Canis lupus familiaris: one gene and its partners. The protein of the gene in region 7 interacts with the protein of the main gene of each other region in a biochemical or structural test. Links are inferred from orthologs where the notes say so. Each region holds a gene or a part of one and is shown on either strand. Other genes may lie near its edges.

Region 1 (4,155 bases), on a different chromosome or scaffold from region 7:
CGTCTAGAGCATCCAGATCTGCAATCAGCCCCGACAGCACACAAGATAAGTGCCTGCAAGTCTCATTATTGTTCACCCCCATCAGAAGTGCGATCAGAGTGCCTCTGGCCTTGTTCACCTCACACATCACCGAGTTGATCTTGGCCACTGAAGGGTGCGCGTCCTCGGAAAGTGGCAGAGAAGGCTGCTTTTTCACACAGTCTTCGATGATCTCCTGCACCGCACAGATTTTGGTTAAGGTGTGGTACCGTGCTTTCCGCAGAGAAATCTTCCCCCCGGTTTTGACATGTGTCAGCCTCAGAATGATATCCTGGATGCCTTCTTCAAATTCGTCAGTTACACAGTTGCCCCCACTATAAAACGGCACAATCTTCTCTTTCACCAGGGCCTGGGCTTCTTTAAAGATGTTCTGTATTTCGATCCGGTGTGGGTGGTTTGCATTCTGCTCCAGCTCTTTGAGAAGACGCTCCGTCTCCTGGGCTGCCCTCTTCCTCGCTTGCTGAATATCTCCTTTTCCTTCAGTATCCACAGAGTCTATTTCAAAGAGTTGTTTTGTTAGAATCCTCTCCAGTTTCTTGTAATTCTTGTCATCTGACAGACCACTGAAGCCAATTACTTGCTGTTCTATACTTTTTACTTCCTTTTGGATTTCCTGAAGCCTACTAATAGAAGGATGTTGGTTGCCCATATCCATACTTTTGTTGTGTTCCGTTTTACAAGCACTAAAAAATGACAAGAATGCCAAATTACACAAAGACTCTACAGACAGGTAAGCAAATATTGATTCATTCCGAAATTCTCATTTTAAGAAGAGGTATTTGAGGGACGCCCGGGTGACTGAGTGGTTTAGCACCGCCTTCAGCTCAGGGGGTGATCCCAGGGTCCTGGGATCGAGTCCCACATTGGGCTCCCTCCATGGAGCCTGCTTCTCCCTCTGCCTGTGTCTCTGCCTCTCTCTGGTGTCTCTTGTGAATAAATAAAATCTTAAAACAAAACAAAAACGGGCAGCCCCAAAGGTGCAGCAGTTTAGTGCTGCCTACAGCCCGGGGTGTGATCCTCGAGTCCTGGGATTGAGTCCCACATTGGGCTTCCTGAATGGAGCCTGCTTCTCCCTCTGCCTGTGTCTCTGCCCCCCTCTCTCTCTGTGTCTCTCACGAATAAATAAATATTAAATAAAATAAATTTTAAAAAAAGATGCATTTGAGTTTAGATCACACTAAGGCCCATCCTTAGTGTGATCTAAACAGCAGTCATACTCAAGTATGGAAAGAGTAATCCACTTTCTTGAAGATCACCTACACACCCCTGTGATTAGGAATGGACAGGGGTGGGATCCCTGGGTGGCGCAGCGGTTTGGCGCCTGCCTTTGGCCCAGGGCGCGATCCTGGAGACCCGGGATCAAATCCCACGTCGGGCTCCCGGTGAATGGAGCCTGCTTCTCCCTCTGCCTGTGTCTCTGCCTCTCTCTCTCTCTCTCTCTGTGGGACTATCATAAATAAATAGAAATTAAAAAAAAAAAAGGAATGGACAGGGGTTACTGCAGTGCAGAACGAGCTGGAGCCCTGGGCCTGATTTCCCAACTTCTTCGCCTGGGTCTCTACACGTGTGGCACGAGGTCAACTACTGGGGTGGAAACAGCACAAGGATCTCAGGTATTAACGCTGGACCCTGGTTGTTGGCAACAGCAGGGCACCCCTGTGGAACGTGCAACAGTTGCTCTTTTGACCTTCAAACGCTAACAGTGCCATCCCAGCACCCACCTGGCCCGAGAGCTATGCCTGCTTTCAAAACAAACTGGAGGGCACCCGGGGGCTCAGCAGTTTAGCATCTGCCTCGGCCCAGGGCGTGACCCTGGAGACCCGGGGTCCAGTCCCGCATCGGGCTCCCTGCGTGGAGCCTGCTTCTCCCTCCCTCTCTCTGTATCTCTCATGAATAGATGAATAAAATCTTAAAAAAAAAAAAAAAATAGAAAAAACAGAACAAAACCCGGAAGTCTAAGTGAAACAAACAGCAGCGGATCCCAGCGACCCCCAGGCCCCGCTTCTACTTCCTCCCCGCCGCTCGGGGCTCCTCCCCGGCCACCCTGTTTCCCCCGCCCCTCCGAGGACGTCGAAGACCCTCCGCGCGGAGGCGAAGATCCCCCAGGAAGGGAAGGTGACCGGCACCGTGTTAAAGGCACCAGCTTGGCCTCCGGAGGGCTGGTGCCTCCCTAGGCCCGTCGGCCCGCTCTCGGGGGAGGGAGGGCGGGCGGCCGGCGGGGCCCCGGCCTCCCCCCCTCGCCCTCCCCTGCCAGCACTTTACCCAGAGGAGGTCTACGCTGGTCTGGTCCTGGCTGCCCGCGGGGAGCTGGCGAGGTGGCAGGTCAGCCCTTTACGGGGTGCGGCACCGGAGCGGGGCCCCAGCTGCATCCCTCTCACCCCTGCCGGCTGGGTGTGCCCGGGCGGCCGGTGAGGGGGCCGGCGGTGGCGCGGCAGCTACTGGCCGCAGCCGCCGCTCCGGGCGTGTCGCCCGGGCCCCCGACGCGCCCGCCGGCCCTGACCTCACAATGGCCCGCGCGGGAGGGGGCGGCCGCGCTCGCAGGGCCTCCGAGCCCCCCGGGGAGCCGGGCCGCGTCGGACGCGGGCGGGGAGCGGCGCGGAGGCCGAGGCCCAGGCCCGGCGGGAGCGGGCGCGGGCGCGGGGGGCGGGGGGCGGGGGGCGCGCACGGGGAGGCCCGCGGCCCGCCAGCCGCCTAGCTGCGCTCACCTGTGCCGCCCGCGCCATCGCGCGCCCCGCCGCCGACGCGCAGGACTCCGCCGCGGTCGCCGTCGCCCGCCCCGCGGCCCCGCCCCGGGCCGAACAGCCCCCGCCCTGGGAAAACGTCCTGCGGCGCGCGCCGCCACCACCGCCCGGCACGGCAGCCCGGAGCTGGCCGCGGAGCCGCGGGGAAAGCGCACGGTCGGCCGCGCCGCTCGCTCCCGCTGGCTTTGCGACCGTGCCGTAAGGCAGCCCCTCGCGCCGGCGCGGCTCTGCCGTGCGTCGCGGCAGCCGGGGGACGCTGGGCATGGTGGGCTTCCGGGCCTCGAGGAGGGCGCTTCTGCCGCCGCTGTGCCGCGCCTTTGCTCGCCCCGGCTGTCCGCTCGGCCCCGAGCGCGGCGCGGAGCGCAGGGAGGCGGCGGCGAGCCGGGTAAGCTGGGGGTCCTGCAGGCGGCGCGCCGGGCTCCGCGCCCCGTCGAGGCCGGCCGCGGCGTCCGCCCAGCTCCCGGGCCGCGGGGGGGGGGGGGGGGGGGCCTCGGAGCCCGCGGCTGTGCTGGGGCCGCCGCGCCGGGGACTTCCCGAGCGGGGGCCTTGGGCTGCAGCGCTTGGCGCGCACGCGGGGTCTCGGCCCGCGCCGTGGCTCCGGGCGCTCTTCCGCCAGCGACCGCGCCCCCGAGCCTCGTGTCTTGCAGGGCCGCCGGGGCGTAGCTCTGGTTTGGAGAACTGCGCGCATAGGTGCGAGGCGCGGGTGGAAGGTTAGCGGGGGTACCTGTAGCAACGAAGAAGGACCGTTTTTAGGAATTGCACTTCTTAGGGGAAGGGTGTTTCGTCCACGGAGTGCCAGCTGTCACGTGGAAGCGTGGGGCTGCAGACGAAATATTTAAACGAAGCCTACGCACACAAACACGGAATTTGCCAACAGGCTAAGGGTGGAGGCTGGAAAGCCTGGGGTAAAAAAGCAGGACTTCCAAAATGTGCCTGCCTGTAAGTTTTCGTCTATGTTAGTCTTTTGCTGTTAGCATGCTTTTTATAAATGTAGTTTTGAAGTTCTGTTCAGTTTATAGTTTATTTTTATTTTTTTTTTTTAAGATTGTATTCATTTATTCATGAGACCCAGAGGGAGAGGCAGAGACACAGGCAGAGGGAGAAGCAGGCTCCATGCAGGGAGCCCGACGCGGGATCGATCCCAGGTCTCCAGGTCACGCCCCGGGCTGAAGGCAGGTGCTTAACGGCTGAGCCACCCCGGGCTGCCCTCTGTTTAGTTTATAGTTTGGACAAGAAGTTGGCGGGGCAGCTGGTCAACCCCCCCTCCCCGCCCCCACCTCTGGCCTAGTTCCTGTGACAGTGGCCACAACTGTGACTTCTATTCCTACAACTTAGAAACCCGTCCAGTGTCTCAGTCTTAGGGCAGGAAGATACT
Region 2 (3,500 bases), on a different chromosome or scaffold from region 7:
GATCACACCCCAGGCTGAAGGGAGCACTAAACCGCTGAGCCATTGGGGCTGCCCAATATCCTCATTTTTAAAATGGAGATTATGATACCCACACCAGATTATGATACTAGGAGGATAAAGAGAAATATATATAGACTCTTAACATAATTCCTGACACAGACATGTGTTAACAAACAGCAACATTGGGGTGCCTGGGTGGCTCAGTCACTTAGGTGTCTGCCTTCAGCTCAGGTCATGATCTCAGAGTCCTGGGATGGAGCCCTGTATCAGGCTCCCTGCTCACTGGGGATTCTCTTTCTCCCTCTGCCCCCTGCCCCTGCTTGTGTGCTTGTGTACACGCACACTTCTCTTTCTCAAATAAATAAAATCTTAAAAAAAAAAGCCACATTTACATTGTTTTTATTAAATTATCTTGCTATGTAGTCACATTGCTTGGCCTAGTGACCAGTTAGCTGGTGACAATGGGTAGACAGCCAGGATCTCTGCAGATTTTATCAGATGTAGATTTGACCACATGCAATAAAAGCTTTTTTTTTTTTTTTTTTTTAAGTTTTATTTATTTAGGGATCCCTGGGTGGCGCAGCGGTTTAGCGCCTGCCTTTGGCCCAGGGCACGATCCTGGAGACCCGGGATCGAATCCCACATCAGGCTCCCGGTGCATGGAGCCTGCTTCTCCCTCTGCCTGTGTCTCTGCCTCTCTCTCCTCTCTCTCTCTCTCTGTGACTATCATAAAAAAATAAAAATTAAAAAAAAAAAAAAGTTTTATTTATTTATTCAGGAGAGATACAGAGAGAGAGAGAGGCAGAGGGAGAAGCAGGCTCCATGCAGGGAGCCTGATGTGGGAGTCGATCCCAGGACTCCAGGATCACACCCTGGGCCGAAGGCAGGCGCTAAACTGCTGAGCCACCCTGGGATCCCTGCAATGAAAGCTTTAAACGTTAGCCAGCAATTCCAAGTCAAAGAATTTATTCTACGCCCAAAAAATAATCGGAAATGGTAAAAAAATATTTATATTCAAGGATGTTCAGAAAAGCATTAATGCATAATGGTAAAATAACATTAGGTGATGAACAATAAAGAATTGTTAGGTATATATATTGATATCATGATATATTCATATATGTTACAATGCTATGCAAGGTTTGATAAGTATGATCATTTAAGATTTTATTTATTTAAAAGAGAGAGAGCAGGCGAGCATGACAGGAGGAGGGACAGAGAGAAGTAGACTCCCTGCTGAGCACAAAGTCAATGCAGGGCTTGATGATCCCAGGACTCTGGGATCATAATCTGAGCTAAAGGCAGATGCTTAACCAACTGAGCCACCCAGGTGCCCCAACTATGAACATTTTTTTTTTTAAGATTTTATTTATTTGTTCATGAGAGAGAGAGAGAGAGAGAGAGAAAGGCAGAGATACAGGCAGAGGGAGAAGCAGGCTCCATGCAGGGAGCCCTATGTGGGACTCGATCCCAGATCCCCAGGATCAGGCCCTGGGCTGAAGGTGGCACTAAACCGCTGAGCCACCTGGGCTGTCCCAAGTATGAACATTTTTAATGACATAAGAAAATGTTTAATTCTTTTTTTTTTTTGTAATGTTTAATTCTTTTAATCAAATAAAAGAACAATTTACAGAGTGTCCATAATACTATATCAATTTTTTTATTTTTTATTTTTTAAATTTTTTTAAAGATTTTATTTATTTATTCATGAGAGACACAGAGAGAGAGAGAGAAGCAGAGACACAGGCAGAAGGAGAAACAGGCTCCACGCAGGAAGCCTGACGTGGGACTCGATCCTGGTCTCCAGGATCACACCCTGGGCTGGAGGCGGCGCTAAACCGCTGAGCCACCCGGGCTGCCCTATATCAATTTTTTTAAATGCAAAAATATATTCTAGTCTTTAGTATTGGTTATCTTCTGAGTCAGGGCTTTATAGGTATTAGTGCTCATATGTTTACTTAAAGTTATACGATGGGCATGTATTACTTTTGTAACTAAAACAGAAACATACATCTATTAACATTATAAAATTAGAGGGAACAAAAAGAAATATGTGGTTTGGGCCTAATTTTAGTATCCCTTCTCTTATACAAGGAATTGAACAGAATGACCCCTGCCTCAGCTAAGATCAAGCTCAACTTGGGCCTTTTCTAGATCAACAATGTTCTCTGTCTTGCTAAACAAGTAACAGCTGGGACTAGGAGAAGCTACCTGTTCCATTACAGACAATACAAGACCCCTGGCATGGCAGGTACTCTCCTAAGAGCACAAATGGATGCAGGCTGTGGTTTGAAAATAGCAATGACAATCACACTTATAAGGGCTGCCTGGGTGGCTCAGCGGTTTAGCGCTGCCTTCAGCCCAGGGCGTGATCCTGGAGACCCGGGATCGAGTCCCACATTGGACTCCCTGCATGGAGTCTGCTTCTCCCTCTGCCTGTGTCTCTGCGTCTCTCATGAATAAATAAATAAAATCTTAAAAAAAAATACACACAATAACACTTATAAAAGCACTTAGTATGTGTCAGACTCAAACTACATCATTAAAAAAAAATTTTTTTTAAAGCAAGCTCTATGCCCAATGTGGGGCTTGAACCCACAACCCTGAGATCAAGAGTTGTGTGCTCTACCAACTGAGTCAGCCAGGTACCTCTCAAACTGCATCATTTAATCCTCACACCAATGCTAAGGAGAGGTACCATCATTTTCCCCTTTTATAGATAGGGAACTTGAGACAAGGAAACTTGCCCACAGTGATAGAGGGTAAAGCCAGGATCTGGACCCAGGGAATCCAGACTAGAGAGCCTGCCCTAACCACACATTTGTATCTCCCCAAAAAGAGTGACCTGTTGGATTCCAGTAAGCTCTTTGTTCAATCCTTCCAGTTGGTCAGCTATCTTCTCCACAGACTTCTCCAAATCTTTCAGTTTCTTTAGTTCAATCTCTTCCTCTGGACTGTTCTAAATGTTTAAGAATAAAATGAAGTCAATAATCACCAAAAATAGTAGCTTCTGACTGGGAAGAAAAAAAACCTAATGACAATTGGGCTAAAACCACTCACCTGGAAAAAAAATAGCTTTGATTCTGCTGCTTCTTGGAAAGCTAGAGAGTTACCCATGAATGTTTTCTACCCACAAAGACGTTAGACTAGAGAGAGAAATACTAAGTAAACATTCTGCAGGGACCCAGACAGCTTGGGTTGAGAGAATGGAGCCAAGTCAAGTGCCAGATTCAACCCGAGCCTGAGGCTGATCAGCAGCTGACTCCAGACTGAAGCCTCCAAGGGGAACAAAGGACAGTGGACACCCGTGAGGAGTCCACCTGGTGAGACAGGTGCAATTCTGCCATTCCTTTGACTGAATTCCTAAGTGCTACCCACCAACTGAGCGCTCCCATTTAATGAGGACGAGGACAAGGATGATTACTTTTGTTGAGCAGTCCCTCTACTATGCTAAACCTTTGTCTGTACTATTATTTTAAGCCTTACCACAACCCAGGGAG
Region 3 (4,195 bases), on a different chromosome or scaffold from region 7:
TGCATTGTTTCTAAACATGTGTATGTGTGGAGTATATGCAATTTTTTCTACCTGAATCTTTCCAGATATATACATGATTACCCTTAAACCCTAAATGCTTCATTGTTCAAAAAATAATGATTTTCTCTTACATAACCATAGTAGTTATCAAATCTATAGATGTCCCATCCATACCTAATCCAGCATCACCAAGTCCTGGCATCTGTACCTCCTAAATATAAGCACCATCTGACCACCTTCAACCATGAGGAAGGGTATTAAGTATTTACAAAGACAACACATAGCAATAACGGTTTGGAGAAACGAAAAGAAACCAGAATAGAGTAACTCAAGAACCAGTACTCTGTGTGTAAAGCCACTGTGAGATCAGTAAATAACAGCTACCACTTACTGGGGTTCTCTCCATATACCAGGCATAGCACAATGCATTCTGTATCTCATTTAATCTCCAAGAAACACAATTATCCATTTTTAATAGAAGTTAAGTGGACTCTAAGAGGCCATGTAACTCCCCTGAGGTTACACAGCTATAGTAGCAGACTTACAGAGTTCAGACCTTATCATTCTAAAGCCAGTGCCCTTAGAATGCACAGAAAGGGCCTAAAGGTTGTTACTAACAGTTATCTCTGGAGGGGGCCTTTTGATCTTCTGCTTTATATACCTCCACGGAGTTTTCTTTTGCCACAACTATGTACTACTTTTAAAATTTTACCACAGTAACACCTAGATATTCCTATCCAGGGTTGAGACTAAAACAAATAATCTCTAAACATTTTGGGGGAGCCACCTCCCAAAGAATAACCATCCATGTCCCAGCCCCCGAAACATACTGAGTATAAACCTTGCTAAATTAAGACTGACCTTTGTAGCGCTGCATAGACCATAAGTCAATGATTTAATATATACAAACACTTTGCTTTAAAATTGTTTCATCTGAGAATCTGAATTAATTTACACAGGAAATGCTGTGCTATCCAAGAAGGTATGGCTACTGAACACTTGAAATGTGGCTAGTCCAAATTGACGTATGAAAGTGTAAAATACAGACACTGATTTTGAAAACTCAGCACCACACACACAAAAAAAATAGTAAAATATCTCAATAACTTTCAAGAATTACATGTTAAACTATAACACGGGATATACTGGATTAAATGTTATCACAATTCATCTTTTAAAAAGACTTTCCAGAGGGCACCTGGGTGGCTTAGATAAACTCAGGTCATTATCTCAAGGTCCTGGAATTGAGCCCCACCTCAGGCTCCATGCTCAGCGAGGAGTCCCTCTCCCTCTGCCCACCCCCACCCCCAGCTCTCTCTTAAATAACATATTCTGTTAAATAAATAGACTTTTCAAATATGGCTACTAGAAAATTTTTTAAAGATTTACTTAAGAGAAAGAAAGAACAGGCAGGGTGAAGGGCAGAGGGAGAGGGAGACAAGCAAGCTCCCCACAGAGGGGAGAGCCTGAAGTGGGGGATTGATCTCAGGATGCTGAGACTATGACCTGAGCCGAAATCAAGAGTGGGATGCTTACCTGAGCATCCCAGGCACCCTGAAAAAAATTTTTTTTTTTTTTTACCCTGAAAATTTTAAATTACGTTACAACTGTGGTTCCCACGACATTTTTATTAGACAGCTCTGATCTAATTTTATAGATCTGAAATGAGAAAATTTGACCTCACCTGGATATATGATTTTCCTGTTTATATGCAAAAAACGTTTTTCTTTGTAACATCCGTTCCTTGAGTTTTTGTTTTTGTTCTAAGTGACAAAAAAGCAACAAGTCAACATTTGTTATAACATTATCAAATAAATATTCACTAAATGAACATCTCATTTTGAAAAGTGACCTACTAGAGATCACACCTTACAAACAGGAAATATCTCAATGAGTACTGGCTTTGAGAAATAATCCCATTTTTTAAGAGATCATTACCATAAAAGCTTCCCACAACCACTTCACGAGAATCACATTCTCTTTTGTCTGAAAGTGAAAAACACGGAGAACATATTTTCAACATATGGTTACCGAAAGCCAAGCTTTAGGAAACTGAGGAGCAGAACTGAGACACTGGACTCCAAGTTCTAATCGACCAGAACTGGGTTGGGTGAGAGTCTTTCCTCTGTGTTCCCATGTGCAGGGCAAAGAACAATATGATTTCTGAAAACCCAGCCAAACCCAGAATCCATAAAGCAGATTCAGAAGAGGCAACCCCACCTCTCCCCAAAAACCGGCTCTCCACTCAGGAGGCGGGAGCGCCCTGCGCAAGCGCAGTCGCCTCCAGCCCGGCGCGGCCCCGCCCACTCGCAGGGGTCCCGAGGGCCCGACGCCGACGCCGACGCCCGGGCCGCCGGAGAGGTGAGGGCCGCGCACCGTCCCTCAGCGGGCCCGTCCCCGCCACCCGAGGGGCACGCCCGGCCAGGGACGACCGCACGGGAGGCGCTCAGCCCGCACACAACCACCACGGCCCGGGCCCCTCTCCGCGGTCCAATGCGCAAAAACGGAGGATGCAGCTGAAAGACCGGGTGAGCTGCCAGGGGCTCTCGCGCGTCTGGTCAGGGCTGACGCTGGTCGGCGGACTCGAGGCCCCGGCTGCTGAGTCCGCGCCCCTCTCTCGCCCACGGTGGCCCTCGTCCCCCGCCCCGGCCCCGGCCCCTCCGGGAAACCAGGCGCCCGCGGGCTGCGCCGCCCCGGCCCCCGCGGCCCTCACCTCTGAACGCGGGCTGAGGGCTCTGGCTCGGGGGCAGCCGCAGCTCCTGGGGCACGGCTGGGCCGCTCATCGCCAACAGCGGAGCGGGACGCGTCTGCGCTCTCACGGCCGCCGCCGCCGCCAGTGAAGCACGCGGGGCCGCAGAAGCCGCGGCGTCAATTGAATCAGCCAATGGGCGCCAAGGGGCGGGGCCGGGGGCGGGGCCAGCTGGAGATCCCTGTTTCGGTGAAGGCTGCTCCGCGGAGTCCCGGCCGCGACAGAGGCCTCCTGCTCCCGAGTCAGTGGCGCCCTTGAGGAGGGCGGGGAGCCGGCTGCCAGGTCCCTGCTGCGTGGCGGCTGGGACTAGTCCGTGGACGTTCACAGCGCACGGAGGAGGGCCCACTAGGAAAGTGTGGTTGGCGGCGCTTAGTAAACCAGGGCGCGCAGGCTGAAGAGGCTGAAGCACCCGCCGCTGTCCCGAGAGCAGGGGAGTCCCCTTTCCGCACCGCGGCTTCGTGGCCACGCTTGACTCCTCCTCCGGCGGTCCGGCTGTTTATGCCCACGCAGTGGCTTCCCTCGGAACCCGTGTTCCAGGCACCCTGCAGGTGAGCGTGTGCCCTGTCCCGAATGCAGGAAGGTTTGCTTTGGTTGTCCCTAAAGCGGCACACAGGAGCCACACTTTAGGGAACCTAGTGCGGTGGACGGTCCCACAAAAGGTGCCGCTTTAATCACTGAGCCGGGCTTTAAGCATGGAGACTGAGACAATTTTTATATCTCCTGCACAGGTCTGAGAGCTTCCAGAGCTGGCTCTCCACTGCCCGTTTCTTCCTATCTTTCTCTGCTTTTTTCCTAAAGGCATCGAATGTATGGTAGCATCTTGCTAATAAGGAAGTTAGTTTGGAATATTCTGGGGTTTTTTTTCTTGATGAAATGTCAAGTGTAGTTGTCTAACTTTGCACTTAAGGCCAATTCTGGAAGAACCAACAGCCAGTCAGCACCCAACACTAAGACACTGTCCCTAAGACAACACTGCTGTTGGCATATTACTGTTAATATTGTCAATTATGTACTAAAGTTTCATCAGACAGGCTGGGTAACCAGGGATTCCCATTAAATAACAGAGAACAGTTTAACAAAATAGAACAGTTTTAAAAAGACTCAAGAACCTCCAAGCCATTTTGCTAAGTGAAAGCCAGCCACAAAAGGTCACACATATGGTATGATTCCCTATGAAATATCCATAATAGGTAAATCCACAGAGAAATGGACACACATGGGTGGTTACCAGGGGTTAGGAGTAGGGGGGAATGGGGAGAGACCACAGAGCCGTTCACTTTAAAATGATTTGTGTTATGTAAATTTCAGTGTGTGTGTTTTTTTAATAAATGGGCGTTGTTAAAAAATAGTGACTCAAGAAAACTGTGGAGAGGTCGTAGGCTGAGATGGTGGGTAGGAAATCCTGCAAAACTGCTAGGTTTTCCAACATAGCAATTACCCCCATCT
Region 4 (3,500 bases), on a different chromosome or scaffold from region 7:
AAAAATTAGGCAAGAGAATAATTATGCAAGACACAATTTTCTACCCTAGGTTGTCATTTTCTCAAAGAAAACCTGTATCTTTCTAGTCTATACCTTAAATGTTTCAACTTTTTTACGCCGCACGTCAGCCTCCTCACTTCCTTCTTGTCCCTCAGAATAATCAGCTTCTTTCTACAAAGTAAGGAGACAAACCACTTAGGACAGAGCTGTGAATCAGGGCAGAGCTCTGTGGAAGATAATATGAATAAACTTACACTTAAAAATATAAAATGGTAAATTGTTCAACACTGCTAATTTTCTCTCACAGTGAGAAGTGAACTATCCACAACTACCAATTCTTATGGACTATAAATGGGAAAAAAAAAAACAAAAATAAAAGGATACAAAATGGCTATGTGTACTACTTATAGTTTTCTCTCAGAATTCCTCTGGAAAAATGCTCTTATCAATTTAAAATCCCATGTATAAAATTTATTTTATTTCTAAGTATAGTTTTCTGATTTTTGACTTTGACTCCATCAGATTCTGTTAGTGGCATAGTATTATTTTATTTTTTTAAAAAAAGGTTTTATTTATTTGAGGGAGAGAGAGTGTGTGAGTGTACAAGTGAGGGGAGGGGCAGAAGGAGAGGGAGAAACAAACTCCTTACTGAGCGGGGAGTCTGATGTGGGGCTCTATCCCAGGACCACCAGATCATGACCTGAGCTAAAGGCAGATGCTTTTGAAGCCACTCAGGTGCCCCAGTAGCACAGCAATTTTAATCTTAATCTATTATAATGTCATTCAATTACTTTTTTAAAAATTATTTTCCGGGATGCCTGGGTGGCTCAGCAATTGAGTGTCTGCCCTCAGCTCAGGATGTGATCCAAGGATCTGGAATCGAGTCCCACATTGGGCTCCCCATGGGGAGCCTGCTTCTCCCTCTGCCTATGTCTCTGCCTCTCTCTGTCTCTCATCAATCAATAAATAAATATTTTTAAAAATTACTTTTCAACCTGCCTTTTCACCACGAAGTTTGGCTTTAATCTGTTGGCGTTCATTGAAATTCTGCAGTCTTATTTGCCTCAGTCTTGCCAGATAAACCTACAAGGAGAGAAAAAAACACACATTTTAATTTAAAGAAAAAAATTATCAGCATTTTTACTGCTTAATTTTTAAATTAAAGAAAAGTGTTAATCTGAATACAAGAAATAAAAGTTTCAAAATCTGGTTAATGGAAAGTGTGATATTAGCTTTCAAGTGTTTAATTTAGAACAACTTATTTCTGAAAAGAAATACATTATAAATTTTTAATTTTATCAAAAGAAAAGAAATTGAACTCAGAATACTGAATATCAGTTATGGGGCAAAATTATGACACAGCATGTCAGTCAAATTATATTAACAGGTCCCTCTAGACCTACAAAATCCTTAAATAATTGTTAAGAATTTAAACCATGCAAGAAAGGAAGGCAATAAACTCAAAAATGGCTATGTGACGGAGGTAGCGAACATGCGGGAAGCATACCTCTTCCTCTTTGTTTCTTGGCTTCCCTCCTCTTGAAGAGCTGGACCTGCCTCCATACATAGCTGCCAGGTTTTGCAGGATTCCCTGTTCATCATTTAATGTACTAAGTTTAAAGAATGACTAAGGCTACATTAGCATCTTACCTAGGAATATCCAGGTGCCACTTTATTTTGTTTGGCAAATACTGATCATTTCTAGCTGATAAACTTAGATAGACCCTAGAATTTTCCTATATCGATATAACCAATACATTGAGAACAGAAGGAAGCAATTAAACCCCATACATAATTATTCAAAACAGAGACCAGCTATGTTTTTATTAGTCATCTAAAACTGCTTTGAGGTTAGCTAAATTCCAAATCAAAAGCTTTGTTCTGTAAAGGGCCAATCATTTCTACACATTTGTTTACATATGCAATACACAGACAACAATATTAAATATTTGAGCTCAAACTCTACATTCAAGCATGTCCTATTACTATACTGCAAGTGATAATTTCAATAACAAGTGTATCATTTTTAACCATAGTTGATTATAAACATGGAATTCTGTCATTAGAAATTATTTTTTTGATTTTTTTTTTTTTTTTTTCTGTGAGAGACACAGAGAGAGAGAAAGAGAAACACAGGCAGAGGGAGAAGCAAGCTCCATGCAGGAAGCCTGATGTGGGACTTGATCCCGGGTCTCCAGGATCACATCCTGGGCTGCAGGCAGCGCTAAACCGCTGCGCACCGGGGCTACCCTGTCATTAGAAATTATTAATATGCTTTAAAAAAGTATCATATTGTCAAACTACCCATCTTCTCTTCCTTCAGCACACAACTATGCTGTAAGATTCTTTTCTTTAAAAAATCCTGTGTCTAATTCTCTAGCTAATGCTTTTTAAGATTTTTTTTTAAAAATTATTTGAGAGAGGAAGAGAGAACATGAGAAAGAGATCACAAGCAGGTGGGAAGGGCAGAGGGAAAAGCAGATTCCCTGCTGAGCAGGGAGCCCAATGAAGGACTCCACCCCAGGCCTGGGACTCTGACCTGAGCCACCCAGGCACCTTAATGTCTTTTTATCAGTGTGTTGAAAGCATACTTTTTATATTCATGACCTCTTCCTATTTGTTTTTTTTTTTTCCTATTTACTTTCTAACCACAATCTGGTTTCTGATCCCACTAAGACTGAAAATGTTTAAGGTTACCACTGACTTCTTAGTTCACAATTCAAATGGACCCTTTTGAATAAACCTTGCAATTAACATTTCCACTGGAAATTATCTTGACTGAATCCATGTAAATATTTTTTCTTTCATAAAAACATATGTTCACTGTAGAAAACTTTTAAATGATTTACAACTGAACCACCTGACACCCCAAAAAGTCGAAGGTTATTCTCTTCCACCTATATGTATAAATACATACAGATTTTATCTTTATAAAACTGGAATTTTACTATAGTTATTCTGGTTTTACTTTAACCAGCATATTAATTAATTTTAATATTCTGAGTTTCTTCTCACATTTAATATCCTTAAAAACGTTTTTTTCTTAAAAACATTATTCTTAATTGACCATATAGTATTCATAATATTCCACCAAATATGTTCTATAATTCACACATTAAAAAAACCTCTCTTCTCTTTCATATTTATAACAGCACTCTCTCCTGGGTTCTTCCAATCAAGCTTCACTATTTTTCACATGCTTTTCTTTTCCTTGGCTCATCACTAATGTCAATATTTTGTAAAGATTCATTCTTTGGTCCTCCTTCTCTTCTCATTCCAGGCTTTAACATATGCTGCCAATTCCCAAATCTCAATCAACCTTGTAGCCCTTTCTTTTTGAACATCTACGTGTATTCAACTGACATCTGGACAACTCCATTTTTTATGTAGCAAAGCTACTTCAATTTATAAACCTGACTTCATCATTCTTTTTACTACATGATCTTATTCCTACGTCAGTTACTGATCACAATCAGCCACCCAAGTCAGCAAGCTGGGAG
Region 5 (3,970 bases), on a different chromosome or scaffold from region 7:
GTGGTCTGGACCTGGGGCCGATGGGCAGGACAATGATGTTGTGGAAGTGGCTGAGGCGGGTGCGAGTCTGGTGTACTTTGTTTTTTCGTTTTTGTTTCTTTAAAGATTTTATGTATTTATTCACAAGAGACATAGAGAGGCAGAGACACAGGCAGAGGGAGAAGCAGGCTCCCTCCAGGGAGCCCGATGTGGGACTCGATCCCAGGACCCTGGGATCACGACCTGAGCCAAAGGCAGACGCTCAACAACTGAGCCACCCAGGCACTCAAGTCTGGTGTACTTTGAAGGCCTTGCTGATGAGTCGCTTACGGGGTGAGCTGTGGGTTACAGGCCACATCTCTCCGTGGTAAGCGATGGGCTAGGCACTTGATGAAAGTGACTGTTCAATTCTAATTCTTACCCTTCACCATGAGCTGTGTCTGTTTCACATACAAGGAAAGTTCTGCCAAAGAATCTGGTCAAAGTCACTCTTTAAGTGGCAGGACCAGACTCAGGGGCCCTGAGTGTCACCAAGCTCTCTGCCTCCCAGGGAGCCCCTGGAAGGCTGGCGTGAGGAGGCCTCCTCCATACCCCCACCCCTGCTGAGCAACAGCCAGACAGGGCTGAGATACTGCGGGTGCCAACTGCAGAAGCCACTTAATTGTTCATCTTTGGTAGCCCTCATGGTTTGAGGGGTGGAGAGCAGAGTCTCATGTCACATCCTGCTCTCATACTTGGTCCCTGATCCCTTCATGTCCAGCTGAGAGAGCTCAGGTGCACCTTTCTCTCCCCTCCCCACTCCTCTTGGCCTATAGCCATGCTCAGAAACACATCCACACCTTTAATATTCAAGTCCCTTCTAAACTGTTTAGCTCCTACGCATCCCTCAAAGTCCAGCTCATGTGGCCCTTCTGAGAACCCTGACTCCTTCCCCCAGTCAAAACTCATCACTCTATTCAATCCTTTGTAGTCACTAGAACTAACTTTCCACCTGATGGCAGCTGAGCCCTCTGTGTCTGACTCCCAACCTGATGCATGTGGGGGCTCAGGAAACATTTTGAGGGGGTGAGAGGGTGAGCGATGCCTGAGGGCTCCTCCATGCCCCACAGTACTGGCTTTCCCCAGCCCAGAGGGGCCCCTGGAGTGGGTCTGGGAGCCCTCTGAGGTAACAGAGCCCTATGAATAGTGGTCACCATGGCGACTCCAATGAACAATGGAGGGGGGCTGCTCCCTGGCAACCACCCAGTGGTCTTCACCAGCAGTTCAGCAGTGTGGATCTGCACTCCTGGGCTTCAGCACACACCAGAGTGGTTCACGTGTTTTCTGATGTTATGAGAGAGAGTGGAGAGGTGAGGCAGAGACCTGTGGGGTGGACGGGGGTCTTCCAGGACCCGGGATTTCATCTCCCCTCTCTCCATTCAGGGCTGCTCGTGAGGGAAGAGTGCCCAGACGCAACGGGACCCCCTTCCCTGTCCTCCTTAACTGATGTCTCTTGGGACTTCCTCTCCAGATCAGAAGCTGGCAGTGAGTCCACACTTCTGCTCAAGCCGGTCTAGGCTGCTCTGGGCTGGGGGTGCCATTAGGGCAGATGGGACACTGCTGTGGGAACATCGGTTGGGTAACTGGAGATGGGGAACCGGGACAGGGCTGACAGCTCACTTGAAGGAGACAGAAGGTAAAGGGCTTGGTTTCAGTGCCACCTGGCTGAGGTCCTATTTCTTTTCTGAGCCTCACTTTCTCCATCTGTGAAAGAGGAGGAGTTATATTTTCTCTGAACACCTGAGTCCTTATGAAGACAGACTAACCTACTAGATGGGAGAATGTGTAACATATGAGCTATATTAGTTATCTCTTTCCATCTAACAAATTGCCCCAAAACTCAGTGGCTTAAGAACACTATTAAAAATTAATTAATTAATTAATATTTTAGAGAGAGGGAAAAGGGCAGAGGGAGAGGGAGAAAGAGAATCCCAAACAGGATTCTGTGTTCAGCGTGAAGCCTCATGTGGGGCTCAATCTCACAACCTTGAGATCATGACCTGAGCCGAAAATCAAAAGTCAGATGCTTAAGCTACTAAGCCACCCAGGTGCCCCTAAGATTTTTTTTTTAATCTCACAATCTCTTTGAGTCAGAAATACAGATGCAGCTCCAATAGGTCCCATATCTCAGGGTCTTCCATAGACTATAATCAAAGTTCAACTAGAGAAGGACCCCTTTCCAGGGCCACTCATATGGTAGGACTCAGTTCCTCATGGATTATTGATCTGAGAGCCTCAATTTCTCATGAACTGTTGGCCAGAGGCCTCCCTCAGATCTTTGCCACGTGGGCCTCTCCAGAGGGCAGCTCACAACATGGACCCTTCTTCTATCAGAGTGAGGGAGCCACAAAGAGCCTGAGAGAGTGTGAACAAGACAGAGTCACAATCTTCTATATTCAATCTTCAATAACCTTGGAAGTAGCTTCTCATCACATATTTAATTGGTTAGAAGCAAGTCAACAGGTCCAGCCCACACTCAAGGGGAAAGATTAAGCAAGGGTGTGAATTCCAAGGAACAGGATCCTTGGGAGCCATGTCAACTGCCCAACTTGGTGGCAGTTGGCCCTCTTGGCCCTGATAACATACATTGTTTCCATATGCAAAATACATTCATTTCTGCCCTACGATCTCCAAAAGGTTCATTCCATTACAGCATCAGCTCAAAATCTAGAACCTGGCTACAAATCAGGCCTGGGTGTGGATGAGGTTCCTTGAGTGTGGTTTCTTGGACTCGGTCCTATCTCCCCATCAGTAGATATTAGGAAACTGAACTATCTGTTCTGAACACACCACTATGCAATGAATGGTGTGGCTGACCTGGGATAAGGGCTATGAACATCCCTATTAAAAACTGAGGACACTGGAGACACAAAGGAGTCACTGGTCCATAGCAGTTCTGAAATCCAGCAGGGATTGTTGAACTTTTCCTGATTGGGTTTCAAGGCCTGGAAGTAATTCTCCATGGCTCTCAGCTCTGCCCCACAGGTCCTTGCTTCCACTCTCTAATTTTTTTTTTTTTTTTGAGAAATAAAAAAAGGATAGCACATGTGTATGCTGAGTAGTTTTTTTTTTAAGACTTTATTTATTTATTCATGAGAATACACAGAGAGGAGAGAGAGGGGCAGAGACACAGGCAGAGGGAGAGGGAGAAGCAGGCTTCATGCAGGGAGCCTGACATGGGACTCGATCCCAGGTCTCCAGGATCACACCCTGGGCCGAAGGCAGTGCTAAACCACTGAACCACCAGGGCTGCCCATATGCTGAGTAGTTTTGTCAGACTCTTCTGCTGGTAGATTTGAGGGTCCACTAGACTCCATTTTGTACCGTCTGTCCCTTTTGCTGCAAGCTGGTAGTACTTTTGTTAATATGGTTTTCTCCAGAACTTAAGCCTACAGGGGCTTGACAACAGCTCTGCTCCCCTCTCTGGGACTCCTGGGAAGACACAGCACCTCTAGGTTTCCTAGACGACCTATTACCCCACTGAGGGGGGCGATCTGTGAGGCGCATCCTTATCTCTTTAAAGGGTCCTTTGTGTGACTGAATAATATGCTCTGAGCTTTTTATCTTTATAAGCTTTTCACAAAAGGTGGTACAGTCACAGCTTTGGCTACCTTTTTTGGATGGTGCTCTGAAGCTATTTCTTAATTTTAGCCTCTTTTGGCACCTGGGGAGGATGAGAATTTCCAAAACTATTAAGTCCTGCCTCTTTTATGTTTAATGGTCCTTCCTTCGATGCTTTTGTCTCCTGTCACATTTCACTACAAGCAGCAGGAAGAAACCAGGAGGTGCCTTCCATGCTTTGCTTGGAAATTTCCTTTGCTAGATCCCCTGGCTCATTAGTCACATGTTCTGCTTTCCATATAACCATCAATGACAGTGTCACTAGGTTCTGTTACTACATAACTCGGACACGGCTCCCTCAAGGTTCTGAGAACATGTTCTTTGTCTGCAC
Region 6 (2,290 bases), on a different chromosome or scaffold from region 7:
AAATAAGCTTACATAGTGGAACTCCTCAATTTCTGGTCCTACATCATTTCTTTTACTTCTCGCCCTAATATTGAGTAGGTCAACCTGACAGTTGTTGGGGTAACTGGATGAGCACTGAATAGGGAATCTGAGGGCCTGAGTACAAATTCTAACTTCCACTAACTTTGGCTGTCATTTTGGAAAATCAACTAATTAGCTTGGCTTCCATTTCCTTATTTGTGAAATGAGGTAGCTGACTAGACAAGTAGTTCTCAACTCTGGCTGTACATTATAATCATCTGGGGGCAATTAGGAGAAAAATAGAATGCTTAGGACTGGCCCAACTAAATAAAAAATCTTGAAAGTGACTCCTGGGCATTGGCATTTTTTTTTAATTTTTATTTTTTTTGGCATTGGCATTTTTAAAAGCTCCTTAGATAGATCTAAGGGCAGCCAATTGAAGAATCACTTGCATAAATCCAAGGGTCCTTTCTGTGCTGACATTCTGCGGTTGATAAACATTATCTAATGTGATCAAGTACCTGTAATACTTGGACAAGTGATTGCTTCTCCTTCAGGTAGCTTTAGAAAGTGACACATAGCAATCAGATGTATGATGCCTCATTTTGAGAAAAAATATCCAATTTTAGGCCATAATATAGAGAATTCCATTTAAAATAAAATGTGAAAATTGCATAATTACTTAATTAAGAGAAAATGAAATTTCCTTTTAGTTATGAAAATTTACTCAATAAAATAAAAGTTAGTCTACAACTCTTTATTTAAAATTATTATCCAGGGTGCTGGGGTGGCTCAGTTGGTTAAGTGTCTGCCTTCAGTGCAGGTCATGATCCCAGGGTCCTGGGATCGAGTTCCACATCAGGCTCCCTGCTCAGGGGGAGTCTGTTCCTGCCTCTCCCTCTGCCCTGCCCCTTGCTTGTGCTCTCTCTTCTCTTGCTCACTCTGTCTCTCAAATAAATAAATAAATTCTTAAAAAAATAAAGTTATCATATAGAAAACTTCTTAAAATAAGAGAATTTTCCCAATTATTTCATTTGTTAAACAACAATTTCCATTTATTGTATTTTGGAAGATTTATTTCCACTTTCAATTTAATTATAAAATACTACCGAGAATAAAAATGTCCCCATACTCCTCAGAGAAGATGTATTACTCTTATAGCTTTCTTATGGAGAACCACCTGGACTGGTTTAAACATACCGAATTGATCAGTGAATATTTGCTTCCATGAACTCACCTCTGAAAGTCATCTCAACGACAGTCTCATGCTTGAAATTAAGCTGTTTGGCAGTGAACTTATTTCTAAAGAACACAGGTCAACCCTTTTCTACCTCCATAACCAACACAATACAAAACTTCTGTAAAAACAGAAGTCTGGTTTTGTCTAGTGAGACTGTTATTGGACAGCATAACTCTCCCTTAGTAAGCAAATAAATATACTCTGTGCTTTTGTTTGAGATATTGAGTGGTGATCTTATCCTTGGCATAACCAATTTTTGAAAATTTATATTTACTGTATTGTTAACTAAGTAGAAGCTTCAGTGCTATATATGCCCTGAAATACACATTTTTCAGAGTAGAGAGATGTGAGAATTTATTTGAAACGTTCAATATTAGGATCCTGGACAGGTACATTCTCATTTTCCCTGAGGGTTCTCTTTCATCTGAGTGTTGTTATGGATGATGGTACTGGGTAAATTGAAAGGGCTTTTCTATCCTGATATACTGAGAATAAAGACTTCCTATATAATGTGTGTAAACTTCATGTATTGTTTTTTTCTTTAGTGTGAAATATGCAAACGGCCTTTGGAAAACCTGCAAGCAGGTGACAGTATTTGGATTTACAGACAGACAATACACTGTGAACCTTGCTACTCTAAAGTTATGGGTAAGTGTTACACGCTTTAAACAATCATCACTTTTACTAATAATATTAATGAGCACTTAATATTGTTGAAATGAGGGATTTCAATAAAGTAAAAATATGTTATTAATTATATTTAGTTAAGATTTCAGCTGAAGGTAGTTTATACTATGATAGGATTTTATGGCATAAAAACAGTCACCATATATTATTATCTCCTGATATCAGACCAGGCATAATACAACTAAGGAAAGAGGTCATTTATTTTGGAACATTTTTTATTTTTTCCAAACAAAAATAAAGATCTTCTTTGCTCAAATAATTGTTTGAAGTCCATTTCTGTGAATGACCTTTTGTATTTGTATTGAAATATACTTTTGTACCTAATTTGGTTATTACACTAAATACTTTTTAATGTTATTTTTA
Region 7 (4,240 bases):
TCTGCTTTCAAACGTCTTAAAATCAGCTACCACATCTACCCAGTACCACCTCAAAAAATCCAAATGCTAGTAGACTTGCCTTCTGAAAACAGAAGTGTCTTACCATAGAGTGCTTTTAAGTTTTTTTTTTTTTTTTAAATCTTTAAAATATTTTAGGCCAACCCTCGGCCAGCACATTTTGTTCCCCTTTTCATTTTCAGTTTCCTTTTGAAAATCTCTTTACCGATGGAGGATTTTACCACTGGCACAGTTTTTCAACTGTAATTTGTATGTTGGCTTAGACTCTAAGGTAGAAGGTTTAAAATGAGGTAACTCAACTTTTGCTCAATCTTTGCCCTCAAACGGATCTTTGCTTCTTCCTGCTTCTTTTGGGCTCAGACCAATGCAACAAATCATGGTTGTAAGTTACATGTCTTCCTTTCATTGTGGTGCATACAGCCTTAAGAGGACTTCAAGAGGTTTTCTGTAATAATTTTAATACTTTTTAAAACCTCACCAATTTTTCATTGCTCCTTATACGTGCAGTAATGAATAAAACTGAATGCTTAATCAAAAAGAGAAAAGGGGAAGCTGACATTCATCCCGCAAATGTTTTTATTGGGCCCTTTCTATGAGGAGTGAACTCCATGTGTTCATGAAACTTAAAGCTGGTGGGAAGGCACAGTTAAGTAAGTGCTTGCCACAAAATTTCTGACTGAGGAGAAATAGAGGAGACCCTGGACCTGCTTACTTGTCTTTTCAGGAGGCTTGGAAAGGATTGTCAGTACCAAAGAGCTAGAAGACACTTGCAAATGAGCACGTCAGCTCAGATAATCCAGTAATTCTTTTTAGTGAAAGCATGGTAGAGATGGTTGGCCCATAGTCCTTGACAATCCTTTGGCACTACTAGCCTCCTCTGACCACATACCGGCTTGCCTACAGAATGTGTGTAATGGATTCATGGACTTCAAAATATCAAGGGGCTGCGGACCAGAGAAATGTGTAGATCTCAGTCCTAGATGAACACCCAAAGGTCTGGGAACAGAAGCCCTTCATGAGTCTGAAACCACAAACAAGTTAAGACTGTCCATTCGCCATTCAATCTGTATGCCAGGGTGTACTGGGCACCTCTCAGACAGTTCTGGGCGTGAAGACGCAGCAGTGAGCCATGCTGGTGCCTAGGAATGGTCTCTGACCCCTGGAGCTCCAGGAGAGTGCCAGGCAATTAAAGAAGAGAGCAAATAGATGAAGAGGGACCATAATACCAGTGGAGACTGCAAAAGACAGCAAGGGTGGGGGGGGGGCGGATGTGAGAAAGAGGCTGGGCTTACAGGGGGTGGCTGGCAGTATGAGGAGTCAGGGGTCAGCATGTAGAGGCCATATGCTGAAGAGCCAGCTGGACCATGGTGGCTGGTGGGGTGGGGTGGGGTAGAGGGTGGCATGAGCAATGGCCAGGTGGTTGATGATGCCAGACTCCATATCAACTGAGGGGAAGGAGGTGTCCTGGGTTTCATGCCAATCACAAGGAGAAATTATGGCAGGGTTCTAAGCAGAGGATTGACACATTCTGATTTACCTATTAAAAAAAAACACACGCACAGACTCTCTGGCTGTCACATAAAGAATTGGAGAGGGGAGGATTGTAATCACGCAGGAAACAAATGCTGGTACCTTGGACTAAGGTGGAGACAATGAGAAAGAAAGGTTGGACTCAGCCAGACACATAGGTAAGCCCAACAGAACTTGCTGATGGTTCACAGAATTCAAGGGATGAGGGTATGGGATAGAGGAAAGGCGAACAAGTGAGCTGACTATGGGCTCATTCCCTGACCCCAAAACCTCCTTTAGGGACAAATCAGATGTGAGATTTTTGTTTTTAATTTTTTTTTTTTAATTCTTCAGGGACGGAAGCAAAGATAATTAGAGTCAAATCACAAAAAGCATTTCATGTTAATGTCGTCCCAAATGGCACCTCTTCTAGTTGTCCCTTTAATGTCTGGGTACTTTGTTACCAAGTTGAGGGGCCGGCACCCTCTAGAAAGAGTGTATTCACTGAGAGCCTTGCTGAAGCCTTCGCCACAGGCTGCTGTTTTCTCTGCCTCTCCGACCCCTGCTGATGTGTTCCGGGAGAAAGCTTCCAGGCCTCCAAACGGGCAGGGGCAGGTTGAGCGGGCCAGAGGTCCCCACGCTCTCCCTCGCCACCTCCCCCGGCCCCCCACCTAACCGGGCTCCCCTCTTGGCCCCTTCGCGGACCTGTCGCGTGTCTGCGGAGGAGGGTGGCGGAGACGGCGGATTCCCCCGCAGCGGCGGGAGCGCAGGAGCCCGGCCAGCCCCAGCCCCAGCCCCAGCCCCAGCCCCAGCCCCAGCCCCAGCCCGGCGGGAGGTGCGGGCGCTGCTCCCCGGCACACACGCACGCACACTCGCCCGCACGCTGCGCGCTCGCGCTCACACCCGGCTCACACCCGGCTCACACCCGGCCCGCGCCGGCCCGAAGCAAGGAGCCTTCTCCAGGGGCGGAGGAGACCGTGGTCGCCCGGCCGCGGCTCGGCCTCACTGGTGCTTCTCGCGCCTTCTCCCGGCCGCGGCCCGCGCGGGGTTTCGGGGTGGCCCTCCGGGGCCCGCCGCCTCCCCCACTCCGCGGGGCCGGGGCCGGGGCCGGGGCCGGGGCCTGGGGTCCCCCGCGCCCTCGGTGCCCCCCTCCCCGGGCCACCTGGGCGGAGCACGCGGCCGTCCGGGCGCCGAGGGGGCTGCGGGGGTCCCGGGCGGGGCGGGGCGCGGCGCGGCGCGGGCGGACGGGCGCTTACCTGCGGCGGCGGCGGCGGCGGGGGCGGGCCGGGGCGGCGGGGCGTGGGCCGGGGCCGGGGCCGGGGCCGGGGCGCCGGGGACGCGGGGCTGGGCGCGCGGACCGAGGCCTGGCCGTCCCCTGCCCTCCGCCCCCTGCGCCTCCGGCCGCGCGCGCGGGGGCCGGGCCGGGCCCAGACGCACTTCCTCAATCCTGCGGCCCGCGGGCTGGCGGGGAGCGAGCGCGGGCGAGGGGGGGCTGGCGCGGCGCTGCCGGCGAGCTGCACGCGGGCGCCTCAGTTTCCCCAGCCGGAACGCGGAGGTGCCCCGACGCCGCGCCCCGGAGGCCCGTGAGCCCTCGCAGCGCGCGGACCCCGCCGGGTCTGGGGGCCCTGCCTTCTCCTGTCGGGGCGGGCGCAGCCGCAAGATTGGTCGGTTCTCTGCTCAACGCAGCGTCGTCCACCGTCCCCGGGCTCCGGAGCAAAACCCAAGGGCTAACCTCGGACTTGTATGGGTTAGGCAGGGCCTCGCAGTGACTGTACTCTGACCTACACCTCTGTGCAGGGCAGGATAGAAATAGGTATTTTCTAGCTTTAGAGTTTGGCAAACGGTGCCCCTTCCGTCACAAGAATTTAATTGGGGCTGAATATAGAAAGATGTCACTGTTGGGTGAATCATTTTAAATTCTGCGGGGAGTAGATAAAACATGCTGGAATGTTGGCCATTTATTATGTCTCGACCCGATATGTATGTTCATCACCCGACGGAGACCATTATCCGACGGCATCACAGAGACGCAGGGACGTGCAGCAGGCATCAGACCTGGCTCCGCGTGCCAACCACAGGAAGACAAGCCGGCCCAGTAAGAAGCAGATGGTTCCACAGCCCGGCAGGACCCGCAGCCTAGGCTAGACCTCTCCTGCGCTGCGACTGGAAGGCTCCTGGGACTTTAGCGCAAGTCAGAGACTCGCCACCACCCTCACTGCCATTTCACAAACGCCAGGCAGACGCAGGGCCCCCGCACGACCTCAAGGACACTCTGAGCAGTGGCCCCTTGGCAAGGGCACCACGGGGCAGCTTCGCTTTGCTCCCAAGAGGCTGCGCCTTTAGCTCGCCGGCCACGGAACGCCCTTTGCAAAAGGGTGGGTGCGGTTTTGCAATCCTGTCCTCAATATTTTGGTCCTAATTCCAGTATTCAAAAAGCAGCAATGTGATTGCTACCGAAAAGTCCCTAATAATTTGCAGGGCGTGGCGTCGCGGTGCTGAGTGAGCCGGGCATTCGCGGTGCGGCGCCTCCGGGGCGCGCGGCCCGCCATCTAGTGGCAGCACGAGGAACAGCACGCGGGGAGGGGCGGCGGGAGGACCCTGGAGCTCATGTGGCCAACGCGGCCTGGGCAACTCAGCTTCTCTTTTTATTTTATTTTATTTTATTTTATTTTATTTTATTTTATTTTATTTATTTTATTTTTTTATTTTATTT

Evidence for each region.
Region 1: the proteins of LRRK1 (region 7) and BAG5 form a complex in vitro, tested with the Homo sapiens proteins (2 studies listed by BioGRID and IntAct, with this or other methods). The link is inferred for Canis lupus familiaris from reciprocal best matches to the Homo sapiens genes LRRK1 and BAG5.
Region 2: the proteins of LRRK1 (region 7) and BAG1 form a complex in vitro, tested with the Homo sapiens proteins (2 studies listed by BioGRID and IntAct, with this or other methods). The link is inferred for Canis lupus familiaris from reciprocal best matches to the Homo sapiens genes LRRK1 and BAG1.
Region 3: the proteins of LRRK1 (region 7) and CKAP2 form a complex in vitro, tested with the Homo sapiens proteins (2 studies listed by BioGRID and IntAct, with this or other methods). The link is inferred for Canis lupus familiaris from reciprocal best matches to the Homo sapiens genes LRRK1 and CKAP2.
Region 4: the proteins of LRRK1 (region 7) and NEK1 form a complex in vitro, tested with the Homo sapiens proteins (2 studies listed by BioGRID and IntAct, with this or other methods). The link is inferred for Canis lupus familiaris from reciprocal best matches to the Homo sapiens genes LRRK1 and NEK1.
Region 5: the proteins of LRRK1 (region 7) and TEX33 form a complex in vitro, tested with the Homo sapiens proteins (2 studies listed by BioGRID and IntAct, with this or other methods). The link is inferred for Canis lupus familiaris from reciprocal best matches to the Homo sapiens genes LRRK1 and CIMIP4.
Region 6: the proteins of LRRK1 (region 7) and SCEL form a complex in vitro, tested with the Homo sapiens proteins (2 studies listed by BioGRID and IntAct, with this or other methods). The link is inferred for Canis lupus familiaris from reciprocal best matches to the Homo sapiens genes LRRK1 and SCEL.

What each region holds. Positions count from the first base shown.
Region 1 is NC_049229.1:71,725,860-71,730,014, forward strand, and holds the start of BAG5 (BAG family molecular chaperone regulator 5), read right to left. Parts: upstream 2,801-4,155; 5' UTR 2,745-2,800; intron 2,463-2,744; exon of another isoform or gene 2,302-2,462; intron 723-2,301; 5' UTR 695-722; coding exon 1-694. Other genes in the region: COA8 (cytochrome c oxidase assembly factor 8), read left to right, coding at 3,043-3,165. UniProt on the Homo sapiens protein: Co-chaperone for HSP/HSP70 proteins. It functions as a nucleotide-exchange factor promoting the release of ADP from HSP70, thereby activating HSP70-mediated protein refolding.
Region 2 is NC_049232.1:50,590,227-50,593,726, forward strand, and holds part of BAG1 (BAG family molecular chaperone regulator 1), read right to left. Parts: intron 2,960-3,500; coding exon 2,846-2,959; intron 1-2,845. UniProt on the Homo sapiens protein: Co-chaperone for HSP70 and HSC70 chaperone proteins. Acts as a nucleotide-exchange factor (NEF) promoting the release of ADP from the HSP70 and HSC70 proteins thereby triggering client/substrate protein release.
Region 3 is NC_049246.1:214,192-218,386, forward strand, and holds the start of CKAP2 (cytoskeleton-associated protein 2), read right to left. Parts: upstream 2,801-4,195; 5' UTR 2,784-2,800; coding exon 2,714-2,783; intron 2,206-2,713; exon of another isoform or gene 2,032-2,205; intron 1,987-2,031; coding exon 1,939-1,986; intron 1,764-1,938; coding exon 1,685-1,763; intron 455-1,684; exon of another isoform or gene 442-454; coding exon of another isoform or gene 392-441; intron 1-391. UniProt on the Homo sapiens protein: Possesses microtubule stabilizing properties. Involved in regulating aneuploidy, cell cycling, and cell death in a p53/TP53-dependent manner.
Region 4 is NC_049246.1:20,498,602-20,502,101, forward strand, and holds part of NEK1 (serine/threonine-protein kinase Nek1), read right to left. Parts: intron 1,592-3,500; coding exon 1,508-1,591; intron 1,084-1,507; coding exon 1,000-1,083; intron 172-999; coding exon 94-171; intron 1-93. UniProt on the Homo sapiens protein: Phosphorylates serines and threonines, but also appears to possess tyrosine kinase activity. Involved in DNA damage checkpoint control and for proper DNA damage repair.
Region 5 is NC_049231.1:28,488,509-28,492,478, forward strand, and holds the start of TEX33 (testis-expressed protein 33), read left to right. Parts: upstream 1-1,170; 5' UTR 1,171-1,328; intron 1,329-1,401; 5' UTR 1,402-1,503; intron 1,504-3,970.
Region 6 is NC_049243.1:31,258,091-31,260,380, forward strand, and holds part of SCEL (sciellin), read left to right. Parts: intron 1-1,785; coding exon 1,786-1,888; intron 1,889-2,290. UniProt on the Homo sapiens protein: May function in the assembly or regulation of proteins in the cornified envelope. The LIM domain may be involved in homotypic or heterotypic associations and may function to localize sciellin to the cornified envelope.
Region 7 is NC_049224.1:40,487,969-40,492,208, forward strand, and holds the start of LRRK1 (leucine-rich repeat serine/threonine-protein kinase 1), read right to left. Parts: upstream 2,801-4,240; 5' UTR 2,784-2,800; intron 1-2,783.